Linked DNA regions of Saccharomyces cerevisiae S288C. Changing the gene in region 3 together with the main gene of any one other region gives a genetic interaction. Each region holds a gene or a part of one and is shown on either strand. Other genes may lie near its edges.

What was found. A genetic interaction does not mean that the proteins touch.
Region 1: mutations in GCN2 (region 3) and SNF5 together harm fitness more than expected from each alone (negative genetic interaction), as found in Saccharomyces cerevisiae (3 studies listed by BioGRID).
Region 2: of GCN2 (region 3) and GCD11, a mutation in one rescues a mutant of the other (synthetic rescue), as found in Saccharomyces cerevisiae (3 studies listed by BioGRID, with this or other methods).

What each region holds. Positions count from the first base shown.
Region 1 is NC_001134.8:778,147-782,937, forward strand, and holds SNF5 (Snf5p), read left to right. Parts: upstream 1-1,520; coding exon 1,521-4,238; downstream 4,239-4,791. Other genes in the region: APM3 (Apm3p), read right to left, coding at 1-1,317; BSD2 (Bsd2p), read left to right, coding at 4,445-4,791. UniProt on the Saccharomyces cerevisiae protein: Involved in transcriptional activation. Component of the SWI/SNF complex, an ATP-dependent chromatin-remodeling complex, which is required for the positive and negative regulation of gene expression of a large number of genes.
Region 2 is NC_001137.3:203,409-207,387, forward strand, and holds GCD11 (translation initiation factor eIF2 subunit gamma), read left to right. Parts: upstream 1-1,842; coding exon 1,843-3,426; downstream 3,427-3,979. Other genes in the region: carnitine O-acetyltransferase YAT2, read left to right, coding at 1-1,555. UniProt on the Saccharomyces cerevisiae protein: As a subunit of eukaryotic initiation factor 2 eIF2, involved in the early steps of protein synthesis.
Region 3 is NC_001136.10:1,024,530-1,031,939, reverse strand, and holds GCN2 (serine/threonine-protein kinase GCN2), read left to right. Parts: upstream 1-1,890; coding exon 1,891-6,870; downstream 6,871-7,410. Other genes in the region: DPP1 (bifunctional diacylglycerol diphosphate phosphatase/phosphatidate phosphatase), read left to right, coding at 521-1,390; MRX10 (Mrx10p), read left to right, coding at 7,185-7,410. UniProt on the Saccharomyces cerevisiae protein: Metabolic-stress sensing protein kinase that phosphorylates the alpha subunit of eukaryotic translation initiation factor 2 (eIF-2-alpha/SUI2) on 'Ser-52' in response to low amino acid, carbon, or purine availability.

The sequences.
Region 1 (4,791 bases), on a different chromosome or scaffold from region 3:
GTAAGAATATTCTAAGGAGACTGTTTGTAAATCAACTTTTTTTGTAAAATTTGGCCCAGTATTTTCATACTCAATACAGCCACGTAGTACAGGTACCGTTCCAGTGGCAGTTGATTTATCAAAAATCCATTGTCCTTGACCCATGATAATGCTATTTTCAAAACGGCCATGAGTATTGCGCAATATTTTTATCTTATATGCTATTTCATTTGGATCAGCATTCTCAACATTGAACTGTAAATCTATTTTTAGGTCATCAACTTGTGAAACTTTTTTGAAATTTTCAATATTTAAGGATAACTCAAATTCATCAGAATCTTTACCCAATCCATTTTGGAAGTGTAAAGACATCAAGCCAATAGAATTCATCCTTACTCCGGATTGCTTTACTTGAGAACTTAAATCGACGGAATACTCCAGCAATCTGAACTTCCCATCTGGTGGTATAAACGTTATATTAGAGGGAGAAAACACACCATCATTGATTTCAACACAGTCATGCAAACTGGGTATACCTATATCATTTCCCATAGTGTTTAATTTTACTGCAACTAGAGGATTATCATTCAAATAAGATCTCACGTCCACTATTCCATGGATACTTCCAGTGAGCAACCTTAGATGTGATTTTTTCTTTTCAAATACAACATGGAATGTTTCTAACAAATCCACATAAAGCTCATTATTCTCATGTTTGCTAGCCCTTGAAGTTCTCCAGGGAACAATCTCTTCATTTTCGATTAGTGAATTACTACCACGAGAAATCTGATTTTGTTGTAGCTGCTGTTGCCTTTGTTGTGGGAGTTGCACAGCCTGCTGTAAATTATGGGCTGTAGAACTTATGAACTTCGATAAATCCGATCTTTCAGGAACAGCTTCTTTAATTTTATTAACATAGAGCATATCACTCACATTTGGTTCACCCGCTTCGACGCAACAGTTAAAAATCAAACTGATTCTATCATAATTATTAACAATTTTCTTGATACTTAATTTATCCTTGTCAAAATATTCTAACAGGATACGATCTATAGTCTCTAAAAAGGTAAAACAATCAAGCGGGCCTTTTGACTTCGAAGTGGAGGCTAAGCACCAATAATTGAGCTTATTTATAACTGAGAAATACTTATAGACCTCTAAATCTCTTCCAACCATTGAATGGTCTAAATAATCATCACTACTGCTATCTTCGAGCAATTGAGGACATGTGGACTGAACGCGGGTCCACAGGTGCTTGAAGGAGGGAGCTGTTGCACCTAAAAGATACTGGAAAATAAGTTTGTTCTTTGTATCAGTGATATAGAATGACAAATACATCTATTTTGGTTGGGTTGGTAAGGTTTACAGCCTCTGTTGTTGCCCAAGTCCTGTTATCGCCAACTTTAAATAAATCTCTTCTTGTTCTTTGACCAAAAATTTCATTTTTCGTCGCATTTAAAAGAAACTGAAATTTCAAACATAAACACCAAAACAAAGCATCATCAAGGGAACATATAGTAAAGAACTACACAAAAGCAACAATGAATAATCAGCCGCAGGGTACCAACAGCGTTCCAAATAGTATTGGAAATATATTTAGCAACATTGGAACTCCATCTTTTAACATGGCGCAAATTCCGCAACAGCTGTATCAGAGCCTCACACCACAACAATTGCAGATGATTCAGCAACGACACCAACAGTTACTGAGGAGTCGTCTACAACAACAACAACAACAACAACAACAAACTTCACCGCCACCGCAAACGCATCAATCTCCACCCCCTCCTCCGCAACAATCTCAACCCATTGCTAATCAATCAGCGACTTCTACCCCTCCTCCTCCTCCAGCACCACACAACTTACATCCCCAAATTGGTCAAGTGCCCTTAGCTCCAGCGCCTATTAATTTGCCTCCACAAATTGCTCAGTTACCTTTGGCTACACAGCAACAAGTTTTGAACAAGTTGAGGCAGCAGGCCATAGCAAAAAATAATCCACAGGTTGTGAATGCAATTACTGTTGCACAACAACAAGTGCAACGCCAAATTGAGCAGCAAAAGGGACAGCAAACGGCACAAACTCAGCTAGAACAGCAGAGGCAATTGCTGGTTCAGCAGCAACAGCAGCAGCAACTTAGAAACCAAATACAGCGACAACAGCAACAACAGTTTAGGCATCATGTGCAAATACAACAGCAGCAACAAAAGCAACAACAACAGCAGCAGCAGCATCAGCAACAACAACAACAACAACAGCAACAGCAGCAACAGCAACAGCAACAGCAGCAGCAACAACAACAGCAACAACAACAACAACAGCAGCAGCAGCAGCAGCAGCAGCAAGGACAAATACCGCAATCTCAGCAAGTTCCTCAAGTTAGATCCATGAGTGGACAACCTCCCACCAATGTTCAGCCAACTATTGGCCAACTTCCTCAACTTCCAAAATTAAACTTACCCAAGTACCAAACTATTCAATACGATCCACCAGAAACCAAGCTACCATATCCAACCTATTGGTCAGACAAAAAAGCAGATACGGATACTTTGTTGTACGAACAAATTATCCAGCGTGATAAAATTAACAAATATTCGCTAATAAGAGAAACCAATGGTTACGATCCGTTTAGCATTTATGGATTTAGTAATAAAGAGTATATTAGTAGACTGTGGCATACACTGAAGTATTATCAAGATTTGAAGAACACTAGAATGAAATCTATCACAAGCACTTCTCAGAAGATTCCTTCGGCAAGTATTTGGGGAAATGGTTACTCAGGGTATGGTAATGGGATTACGAATACAACTACCAGAGTTATTCCACAAGTAGAAGTTGGAAATAGGAAGCATTACCTAGAGGATAAATTAAAAGTCTATAAACAGGCCATGAATGAGACATCGGAACAGTTAGTTCCCATAAGATTGGAGTTCGATCAAGATCGTGACAGATTCTTCCTCAGGGACACTTTGTTATGGAACAAAAATGACAAGCTTATTAAAATTGAAGACTTTGTGGACGACATGTTGCGAGATTACCGATTTGAGGACGCTACGAGAGAGCAACACATTGATACTATTTGTCAATCTATACAAGAGCAGATTCAGGAGTTTCAAGGAAATCCATATATAGAGTTGAATCAGGACCGTCTAGGCGGTGATGACTTGAGAATTAGAATCAAGCTGGATATTGTCGTGGGACAAAACCAGTTAATCGATCAATTTGAGTGGGACATCTCTAATAGTGATAACTGTCCAGAAGAGTTTGCAGAGTCCATGTGTCAAGAATTAGAACTACCAGGTGAGTTTGTGACTGCCATTGCTCACTCCATAAGAGAGCAAGTTCATATGTATCATAAATCACTGGCACTGTTAGGTTACAATTTTGATGGATCAGCGATAGAAGATGATGACATTAGAAGCAGAATGCTCCCAACGATTACTCTTGATGATGTTTATAGGCCTGCAGCGGAAAGCAAAATTTTTACTCCAAACCTATTACAGATTTCAGCTGCAGAGTTAGAGAGATTGGATAAAGATAAGGACAGAGACACAAGAAGGAAAAGAAGACAAGGTAGATCTAATAGACGTGGTATGCTCGCATTGTCCGGCACATCTGCAAGTAATACATCTATGAACGGCGTTCACAACACAGTAGCAGCAGGAAATGCTTCATCGTTGCCACCAGGAGAGATTTTACTGCCAGATATTGCAGATATTCCAAGAACTTTCAGGACTCCAGTACCTAGCACTTTAATGCCTGGTGGTGTTGACGTAGGCCCTTCTGTGGAATCGTACGAATTGAGAAACACAACCACTTATAAAAGCAGGCCAGATAGACCTAAGCCAGTTTCACCTCCTTGTTATATTATTGACCATATTCCGGGTCATTCGCTACTACTTTCTATTAAACTGCCTGGGAAAGTTAATACAAAAGAAGAGTTCGCAGCAGCGCCCAATGACACAAGTAGTGGCACCAATGCAATGCTTCCGAGTCCAGAATCGCTGAAAACTAAGCTGAATAGTAACATTCGCGCTGGTGTGACGATACCTTCAATCCCAAACCCGATTGCCAATCACACTGTTACTAATTCACCCAATCCCACACTGCAGCCAGTAATCCCAGGTGGGGCAGCTAGTAAATCGGTACCTACACCTAGTCTTCCTATAGCACCTCCAGTAGCACCACATGATAGCGAAGCGACATTGTTGACTAATAGCAATAATGGTAGCAGTAACAATAACACACAGAATACATAGAAAATATATACACATATATAAAATATACCGGAGATGTAAATAACCGTGGAAGAATTTGTATTATCATCGTGTTATACGATGCGGAGTCCCTTTGCGCCTACTTTTTTTAGAAGAATAGTACATAACCTTTATAAAAATCTTCCAATTTAGATACATAAAAAGAGCATGAGAATAACAAGAACACGTAGTCTAGGAAACTAAGCGCTATGCCAGAGCAAGAACTACTTATAGGGCAAGAAATGAATACACTTCATGCAGGTTCATCTACTGATGGCATAAATGTCGGAAACGCAGGACGAACTAGAGACACACAAACTGGCGTAGAAGGGGAAACGGAAATAGGGTCTGACGAGGAAGATAGCATAGAGGACGAGGGAAGCAGCAGTGGAGGAAATAGTACGACAGAAAGACTAGTACCACACCAGCTGAGGGAACAAGCAGCCAGACATATAGGAAAAATAGGAAGACATTTTAATATTCTTGATAGACTTTTTAAGAAACGTACACAACAGTCTTCGGATATACAACAAGGTGCCATGTTTGATGGTGTCTT
Region 2 (3,979 bases), on a different chromosome or scaffold from region 3:
TGTCACTGCAGATGCAAAAGCCACAGTGATTTGGGATTCCTTCACATGTGACGGGTCAGTCGTGCTTCGGTTTACTTCTGAAATTTATACAGAATCAGTCTTGAGATTAGCTAGAGACGTTAACGCCGGTGACCCACAGTTTTCACTCTGGCCTAACGTGACACAAATGGATCCTGAAACTAAAAAACTGATGACGGCGACCATAAGTGCCGACGGCGGAGGCCCTTCTGAAATTGACCCTAAGTTGGTTGTAAATAAAATCGATTGGTCTTTCAGTAACATCCTGAACACACATGTCCATTTGTCAGAAACCAAACTAGCTGATCTGATTTCCAAGTATGATATTGTTCGCGCTTCTATTCCATTGGGCAGAAGGTCAGCTCAAAGATTAGGAGTCAAGCCCGATTCGATGGTTCAAGTAGCTTTACAAATAGCTCACTATGCTTTGTATGGAAGAATGGTGTTTGGATTAGAACCAGTATCCACACGTGGTTTCAAAAACTCGAGATCATCTTTTATTAACATTCAAAGTCAAGCGCTGTTGGAACTATGTCAATTGTTTATTTCTAGCTCCATTGATGGGACAGATAAATTAGACAAATTTATCCAAACCTGCGAAACACATAATAACATGGTTAAACATGCAAAGTCTGGGGTAGGTTATGAAAAACACTTCAATGCATTGAAATATCTCTTCAAATTTCATGACCATTTTGGTATCCACTTAAGTGGTGATGAATCATCTGCTGCGAAAGATCTTTTCGAAAATCCACTTGTTTTACCTTTCTCACAGCCTGAGTTGATTGTTGCCAACTGTGGTAATGCTGCTACCACGACATTTGGTATAACTCCTGCTGTACCTCATGGCTTTGGAATAGGGTACATCATTAAAGATGATCAAGTAGATTTGACCGTGACATCGCAATTTCGACAGGGTGACAGGTTAATGTTTATGTTAAGTTGGGTGTTAGGCGAAATTCGTTCCTACTGGAGGATGTCACGCGGCACTTCTCATAATAAAACTGGCGTGAAGATCAGTCCAGTGGTCGATAAATTGTATGAAATGGACAATGCAGTCAATAATCCTCCGAAACGTAACGGCCATACAGTCAATGGCTCCCGCAAAACATCTTCTTCATCACAGGTAAATTTGAACAGGTATGGCGGGTTTTTCGATTTGGAAGGCCACATTGACAGTAGGAATATATCTAAAACACCATCGATGAAGAATTTGCAGAAAACCTTCAATGGCTTGACCATGAGCGCAGACAATGATCATTCAAGTTCCGCAGTTTCCGTTCCCACAGAAAAGGAAAAATTAAATACAGGCCATGAAATTTTACAGATCCAACCGCGGGAAGTGGCAAGTAATGGGTTGGAAGCAGATGATGAGACAGATATTGAAATAGTTGCTGGCAATGCTGATGGCACATCCTCTTCGGCATCTTCAGCTACATCTCTAAATTCCAAGAAACGTAACGTCATCAACTCAAGATTCGATATTGATTTTGACCGCAGTCGTGTGGGTAGAAAGGTGGCGACCTTAGATCAATAAGAACGCTCTTTGTTTATCTATTTATTACTAGCATTATGCGTAAGCTTGGCGTGATGTGATATATACTTGTTATATGAAGTATATCAATATGCTTTAATTTATGCTTATTATTTGCTCTCATGTCAGTAACCCGGACCAGATTTGCCATTGAAAAAATTTTCATAGAATAGCCCGATGCTGATCATCAGTACAAAAGACAGAGATTTCATCTCGACCTGTACCAGGAGCTAAGCAAAGAGGGCGGAAAGAGCGTAATACACCGTTAACATCGCGCATTAGAGGTAGACATGAGTGACTTACAAGACCAAGAACCTAGCATTATTATCAACGGTAATTTGGAACCAGTTGGTGAACCAGATATCGTTGAAGAAACGGAAGTTGTAGCTCAAGAAACACAAGAAACACAAGATGCTGATAAGCCAAAGAAGAAAGTCGCCTTCACTGGCTTGGAAGAAGACGGGGAAACTGAAGAAGAAAAAAGGAAAAGGGAATTTGAAGAAGGTGGTGGTTTGCCCGAACAACCATTAAACCCTGATTTTTCAAAATTAAACCCACTATCCGCCGAAATTATCAACAGGCAAGCTACAATAAACATCGGTACCATCGGTCATGTCGCCCACGGTAAATCCACAGTAGTTAGGGCTATTTCAGGTGTCCAAACAGTCCGTTTTAAGGATGAATTAGAACGTAACATTACTATTAAGTTAGGTTACGCTAATGCTAAAATTTATAAATGTCAAGAGCCTACATGTCCCGAACCTGATTGTTATAGATCATTCAAATCTGATAAAGAAATCAGTCCTAAATGTCAAAGACCAGGTTGTCCGGGGCGTTACAAATTGGTCCGTCACGTTTCTTTTGTTGACTGTCCCGGTCACGATATCTTAATGAGTACTATGTTATCAGGTGCTGCTGTTATGGATGCTGCGTTACTGTTGATTGCAGGTAATGAATCTTGTCCACAACCTCAAACCTCAGAGCATTTAGCTGCCATTGAAATCATGAAATTAAAGCACGTCATCATCTTACAGAATAAGGTCGATTTAATGCGTGAAGAAAGTGCCTTAGAACACCAAAAATCCATCTTGAAGTTCATCAGAGGTACCATTGCTGACGGTGCTCCTATTGTACCAATATCCGCTCAGTTGAAGTATAACATCGACGCAGTTAATGAATTTATTGTCAAGACTATTCCCGTACCACCAAGAGATTTTATGATTTCTCCAAGGTTAATTGTTATTCGTTCATTTGATGTTAATAAGCCAGGTGCTGAAATCGAGGACCTGAAAGGTGGTGTTGCCGGTGGTTCTATTTTGAATGGTGTTTTCAAATTAGGTGATGAAATTGAGATTAGACCAGGTATTGTCACCAAGGATGATAAGGGTAAAATTCAATGTAAACCAATCTTTTCTAACATTGTCTCCTTATTTGCCGAACAAAATGACTTGAAGTTTGCTGTTCCCGGTGGTCTGATTGGTGTTGGTACTAAAGTTGATCCTACCTTGTGTAGAGCTGATCGTCTTGTCGGTCAAGTCGTCGGTGCTAAGGGTCATTTGCCAAACATTTATACTGATATCGAAATCAACTACTTTTTGCTACGTCGTCTATTAGGTGTCAAAACAGATGGTCAAAAGCAAGCCAAAGTCAGAAAATTAGAGCCAAATGAAGTTCTTATGGTCAACATTGGTTCTACCGCTACGGGGGCTCGTGTGGTTGCCGTTAAAGCTGATATGGCAAGATTACAGTTAACGTCGCCCGCTTGTACTGAAATTAACGAGAAGATTGCTTTGTCGAGACGTATCGAAAAGCATTGGCGTTTGATTGGTTGGGCAACCATTAAAAAGGGTACTACATTGGAACCCATCGCTTAAGGAACCAATAAAACCACTGCAAAGACAAAAATTTCATAATTAATCTGAAAGAAAGTGAAGATAAGAAACGGGCTAGGAGGAAGGGAAACTGACACTTCTGGTTATTGCAATATGCTCATATACATTGATGCGTAATGACATTGATGATCTTTATTCTCTTTTTATAACGTTTTCTTTCTTTTTTTTTCCTTCTTACATAGTATTCAACTGTATATTTAACATGTTTTACGTATTTTTAAGAAAAAATTACTAAACGCGATAATATTAAGCAAATATTTATCTCATAGTTCTCGAACTCATTTATTTCCCATTGATGCCATGAAAACCTCTCAAACCTTTATCGTCTAGTTACACCAGTAGTCAATAAACTGCCTTTCTTTTTTTACACCCAACATACTCTACACTAAATCTTATCGGTGGTTTGTACATGGAGACAATTGCACAAAGATAATGAAGCTCCAAAATTATTCAGTATCTATTGAGTATATATAACCTTGAAAAGGTTTTATTTTATATAAGTTCGCCATCTTAGTATAGTGGTTAGTACACATCG
Region 3 (7,410 bases):
ATATAGTTTTCCAGTAGTGCACTATTATTAAGGCGCTTCTGTTTTTAGTCAACACTTTTTCAGATAGTACCTTTCAGGTGGTTAGAGTGCGATCCCTTTAAAAAAAAGTATTCGTCAACGATGACAGGGTAAAGAATAAATGCAGCACGCCTGGCGTATACTGCTATAATTGTACATCATGTTATCGGCGTTGATTCTCAATTGTTTGGTGATTAGCTTTTATATATAGATAGAAACCCAACGTTGGATAACCTCACGACTAACTTTTTTGTATTTTAGAAATAATTTGTCGATCGGTTGTATATTTTTGTCATATATTATCTAGAAACGTTAGGGAATAAACTGTTATCTAGGGTCCACTAACATACGCGCAGTTCGGAAATCAGCAAACATCACTTAAAGGACACCTGCTATAAACTGAATTGTGTCCAATTTTTCGAGTAGTTAGCAGTTCAATAAAGGGCACGTTATCAATTGTTAAAGGCAAAGAATCAGAATTAAATCATAGCAAACGACCAAAATGAACAGAGTTTCGTTTATTAAAACGCCTTTCAACATAGGGGCGAAATGGAGATTAGAAGATGTCTTTTTGCTCATTATCATGATACTTCTTAACTACCCAGTGTATTACCAACAACCGTTCGAACGTCAGTTTTACATTAACGATCTCACTATATCGCATCCTTATGCGACAACTGAACGTGTAAATAACAACATGTTGTTTGTTTATAGTTTTGTCGTGCCATCTTTAACCATATTGATAATTGGTTCCATTTTGGCCGATAGAAGACATTTGATTTTTATTTTGTACACATCTCTCCTTGGTTTATCACTCGCTTGGTTCAGTACGAGTTTCTTTACAAACTTCATCAAGAATTGGATTGGAAGACTAAGACCAGATTTTCTAGATCGTTGCCAACCTGTTGAAGGCTTGCCATTGGACACTTTATTTACTGCAAAAGATGTGTGTACGACTAAGAATCACGAACGTCTGTTGGATGGGTTTAGGACAACTCCGTCAGGTCATTCAAGTGAAAGCTTTGCAGGACTGGGTTATTTGTACTTCTGGCTATGTGGGCAACTTTTGACTGAATCACCGTTGATGCCTTTATGGAGAAAAATGGTGGCCTTTCTACCACTGTTAGGAGCTGCACTAATTGCTCTATCCAGAACTCAAGATTACAGACATCATTTCGTCGATGTAATTTTAGGGTCTATGTTGGGTTATATAATGGCACACTTTTTCTACAGAAGAATCTTCCCACCCATTGATGATCCTCTTCCGTTCAAACCATTGATGGACGATTCAGATGTCACCCTGGAGGAAGCAGTCACCCATCAGAGGATCCCGGATGAGGAATTACATCCTTTGTCCGATGAAGGTATGTAAGAATAAAAAAGAATATATACTCCACATGACATACGAAATATACGTATTTATTGTTCTGTATGGAATAACAGCGATTACATAAAGATGACATGTTACTTCTTTATTCAAATTAATCTTGACGTGCAAGGGCCTGCTTGTTATTTCATCGGACAATCCCAACATCACTTTACACGAAAGCCTTAGAAGTTTATTATTTGTTTTAAGTTGGACTATAGTGATGTAGGTAGTTTCTTAGGAAGCAGTTGAGTAGCTGATTTTTGAGATAAGAACCTGGTGTAATCAATCTATAAACAGCCTAGAATCTTTTTAAGCAAATTTACTTTTACATTTATCTCTATCTTCTTTCTTACAAGAAGTTATTTTCATTACAAAAGGACATTAAATACACTAAATTTTCAATCTTTACATTGTTGGAAAGCCTCGTTGTCTTTTAAGATTTTATAAGCATTGATTTTTTTTTTCAATAATTTTCCGTTCCCCTTAACACATACTATGTATAAATGTCATTGAGTCATCTCACTTTAGATCAATATTATGAAATACAGTGCAACGAACTTGAAGCGATACGTTCCATTTATATGGATGACTTTACTGACTTAACTAAAAGAAAGTCTAGCTGGGATAAGCAGCCACAGATTATATTCGAAATTACGCTTCGATCTGTTGACAAAGAGCCGGTTGAATCTTCTATAACATTACATTTTGCGATGACCCCAATGTATCCTTATACCGCTCCAGAAATAGAATTCAAAAATGTACAAAATGTAATGGATAGTCAATTGCAAATGCTGAAAAGTGAATTTAAGAAAATCCACAACACCTCCCGAGGCCAAGAGATTATATTTGAAATTACATCTTTTACTCAAGAAAAACTGGACGAATTTCAAAATGTGGTAAATACACAGTCCTTGGAAGATGATCGATTACAAAGAATCAAAGAAACTAAAGAACAATTAGAAAAGGAAGAAAGAGAAAAACAACAGGAAACAATAAAAAAAAGATCAGATGAGCAGCGAAGGATAGATGAAATTGTTCAAAGAGAGTTGGAGAAAAGACAAGATGATGATGATGATTTGCTATTCAACAGAACAACCCAGTTAGATTTACAACCACCTTCAGAATGGGTTGCATCAGGTGAAGCTATTGTCTTTTCAAAAACTATAAAGGCAAAATTGCCTAATAACTCAATGTTCAAGTTTAAAGCAGTTGTAAATCCTAAGCCAATAAAACTGACATCAGATATATTTAGTTTTTCCAAACAATTTCTTGTGAAGCCTTATATACCACCAGAATCTCCGTTGGCAGATTTTTTAATGTCTTCTGAAATGATGGAAAATTTCTACTATTTGCTATCTGAAATTGAATTGGATAATAGCTATTTCAACACAAGTAATGGAAAAAAAGAAATAGCAAATTTAGAGAAAGAGTTAGAGACGGTGTTGAAAGCTAAGCATGACAATGTGAATCGATTGTTCGGTTATACGGTGGAGCGCATGGGGAGAAATAATGCAACGTTTGTTTGGAAAATAAGACTCTTGACAGAGTACTGTAACTACTATCCATTGGGAGATTTGATACAATCTGTTGGATTTGTTAACTTAGCAACAGCGCGTATTTGGATGATTAGATTGCTTGAAGGATTGGAGGCCATACACAAATTGGGAATTGTTCATAAATGTATCAACTTAGAAACCGTGATCCTGGTGAAGGATGCAGATTTTGGAAGCACTATTCCCAAGTTAGTTCACTCCACTTATGGCTACACTGTTTTGAATATGCTATCGAGATATCCAAATAAAAATGGTTCTTCGGTTGAGTTATCTCCAAGTACATGGATAGCCCCTGAGTTGTTGAAATTCAATAACGCCAAACCTCAAAGATTAACTGATATTTGGCAACTTGGTGTTTTGTTTATCCAGATAATCAGTGGATCTGATATAGTGATGAATTTTGAAACGCCTCAAGAATTCCTAGATTCAACAAGTATGGATGAAACTTTATATGATCTTCTTTCGAAAATGCTTAATAACGATCCGAAGAAAAGATTAGGAACATTAGAACTACTGCCCATGAAATTCTTAAGGACCAATATTGACTCTACAATCAATCGATTTAACTTAGTTTCCGAAAGTGTCAATTCTAATTCCTTGGAGTTAACTCCTGGAGATACCATAACCGTTCGGGGCAATGGAGGTAGAACACTTTCACAATCGAGTATACGAAGAAGATCATTTAATGTTGGTTCCAGATTCTCTTCTATAAATCCTGCAACGCGATCACGATATGCTTCTGACTTTGAAGAGATTGCAGTTTTAGGCCAGGGCGCATTTGGACAAGTTGTCAAGGCACGTAATGCTCTCGATAGCAGATACTATGCGATCAAGAAGATTAGACATACAGAAGAAAAGTTATCTACTATATTGAGTGAAGTAATGCTGTTAGCAAGCTTAAATCATCAATATGTTGTGCGTTACTATGCTGCATGGTTAGAAGAAGACAGTATGGATGAAAACGTTTTTGAATCAACTGATGAAGAAAGTGACTTGAGCGAATCTTCCTCTGATTTTGAGGAAAATGATTTATTAGATCAAAGCAGTATTTTTAAAAATAGAACAAATCACGATTTGGATAATAGTAACTGGGATTTCATATCGGGGTCAGGATATCCGGATATTGTCTTTGAAAATAGTTCTCGTGATGATGAAAATGAAGATCTAGACCATGATACTTCCTCGACTTCCTCGAGCGAAAGTCAAGATGATACTGATAAAGAATCAAAGAGTATCCAGAACGTTCCAAGAAGGAGGAATTTTGTAAAACCGATGACTGCTGTTAAGAAGAAAAGTACGCTTTTTATTCAAATGGAGTACTGTGAAAATAGAACGCTATATGATTTGATCCATTCTGAAAATTTAAATCAACAACGTGATGAATATTGGAGGTTATTTCGACAAATTTTGGAAGCACTGAGTTATATACATTCCCAGGGTATCATTCATAGGGATCTGAAGCCAATGAATATTTTTATAGATGAATCGAGAAATGTTAAAATCGGTGATTTTGGGTTAGCTAAGAACGTCCATAGATCTCTGGATATACTTAAGCTAGATTCACAGAATTTGCCAGGCAGCTCAGATAATTTAACATCCGCCATTGGTACAGCAATGTATGTTGCTACTGAAGTTTTAGATGGTACAGGTCACTATAATGAAAAGATTGATATGTATTCACTTGGAATCATTTTTTTTGAAATGATCTATCCTTTCAGTACAGGTATGGAGAGAGTTAATATTTTGAAAAAGTTACGATCAGTGTCGATAGAATTTCCTCCTGATTTCGACGATAATAAGATGAAAGTTGAAAAGAAAATTATAAGGTTACTCATAGACCATGATCCCAATAAAAGGCCTGGTGCTAGGACATTATTAAATAGTGGTTGGCTTCCTGTGAAGCATCAGGATGAAGTAATCAAAGAGGCTTTAAAAAGTTTGTCGAATCCTTCATCCCCTTGGCAACAGCAAGTTCGAGAAAGTTTATTTAACCAATCTTACAGTCTAACAAATGATATTCTATTTGATAACTCAGTTCCAACATCCACTCCTTTCGCAAACATTCTCAGGTCCCAAATGACAGAAGAGGTAGTTAAAATTTTCAGGAAACATGGAGGAATTGAAAATAATGCTCCTCCGAGGATTTTTCCAAAGGCCCCCATATACGGTACGCAGAATGTATATGAAGTGCTTGACAAGGGCGGTACCGTCTTGCAGTTACAATATGATTTAACTTATCCTATGGCTAGGTATCTATCTAAAAATCCAAGTCTGATTTCTAAGCAATATAGGATGCAGCACGTTTACCGACCTCCTGATCATTCAAGGTCAAGTTTGGAACCTAGAAAGTTTGGTGAGATTGACTTCGACATAATTTCAAAATCTTCCTCAGAGTCAGGATTTTATGATGCAGAAAGCTTGAAAATTATCGATGAAATATTAACCGTATTTCCTGTATTTGAGAAAACAAACACTTTTTTCATATTAAATCATGCTGATATTTTGGAGAGTGTTTTCAACTTTACAAATATTGATAAAGCCCAAAGGCCTCTAGTTTCACGAATGTTGTCGCAAGTAGGCTTTGCAAGGTCCTTCAAGGAAGTAAAGAATGAACTAAAGGCGCAACTGAACATATCTTCTACGGCATTGAATGATTTGGAGTTATTTGATTTTAGACTGGACTTCGAAGCAGCCAAAAAACGCCTGTATAAATTGATGATTGATAGTCCGCATCTAAAAAAAATTGAGGACTCTTTGTCCCATATATCAAAGGTTCTCAGTTACCTAAAACCCTTAGAAGTTGCAAGAAATGTTGTGATATCTCCTTTGAGTAACTACAATAGCGCTTTTTACAAAGGAGGTATCATGTTTCATGCAGTTTATGACGATGGATCCTCACGTAATATGATAGCTGCTGGAGGGAGGTATGACACTTTGATATCCTTTTTTGCCAGACCATCAGGAAAAAAGAGCAGCAATACTCGTAAGGCTGTAGGTTTCAACTTAGCGTGGGAAACAATATTCGGTATAGCCCAAAACTATTTCAAACTCGCTTCTGGAAATAGGATAAAGAAGAGAAATAGGTTTTTGAAAGATACAGCTGTTGATTGGAAGCCAAGCAGGTGTGATGTATTGATATCGAGTTTTTCGAACTCTTTGTTGGACACAATCGGGGTTACAATACTGAATACATTGTGGAAGCAAAACATTAAAGCGGATATGTTAAGGGATTGTTCCTCGGTGGATGATGTCGTTACTGGCGCTCAACAGGATGGTATAGACTGGATTTTGCTGATTAAGCAACAAGCGTATCCACTAACCAATCACAAGAGAAAGTACAAGCCATTAAAAATAAAAAAATTGAGCACTAATGTTGACATAGATTTAGATCTTGATGAGTTTTTAACCTTGTACCAACAAGAAACTGGTAATAAATCTTTGATCAACGATAGTCTCACTTTGGGCGATAAGGCTGATGAATTTAAAAGATGGGATGAAAACAGCAGTGCCGGTAGTAGTCAAGAAGGTGACATAGATGATGTTGTTGCTGGTTCGACTAATAATCAAAAGGTAATTTATGTTCCAAACATGGCTACAAGATCTAAGAAAGCTAATAAAAGGGAAAAGTGGGTTTATGAGGATGCAGCCAGAAATTCTTCGAATATGATATTACACAATTTATCCAATGCACCAATTATCACTGTTGATGCCTTAAGAGATGAAACTTTAGAAATAATCTCAATTACTTCTTTGGCTCAGAAGGAAGAATGGCTGAGAAAAGTTTTTGGGTCAGGTAATAACTCGACTCCTAGAAGCTTTGCCACGAGCATTTATAATAACCTCTCCAAAGAGGCTCATAAAGGGAATAGGTGGGCAATATTATACTGCCACAAAACCGGAAAATCATCTGTTATCGATTTACAGAGGTAGGCCTTTAAAGATCTGTGCGGCGCTATAACGCATCAGTTAAAGGTAAAGTATATACAATGTCTTAGATACTATATTTAGGCTAGCTGATTCATCTAATTCACCGTTGTAAAGGGGGTAGGTCACCTTTCTTATACATATTCCTGATACTAAAGACAAATGTAGGTTTAATGAGATGGTCTACTTCTTCTCTCCTTTCTCTACTTTCCATTTTGTATTTAATTTTTCGGTGAATATAAATGTGTGCGTATGTTGTGTGAGGCTCCTCTAGCTCCTACGGGAGACATTTAATAAATGATCATAATATGGCGTGAAGAATGCTTTCATTCAGAAGTTTGACTAGCACATTCGGTTTCGTATCACGATTCCAAATTAGACGGTTAGGAACTAGTTTATCAATACAGAATTTAGAAGTGCAAGATGGCCGTTGGAAAGGTAAACTAGCTACAGAGAAGAAGACCAATAGGGAACACAAGTCAGTGGATACGAATATCAAGACAATGAAGATGCTTAAAAACCCGAAGAATTCTACTCGCTATTTGA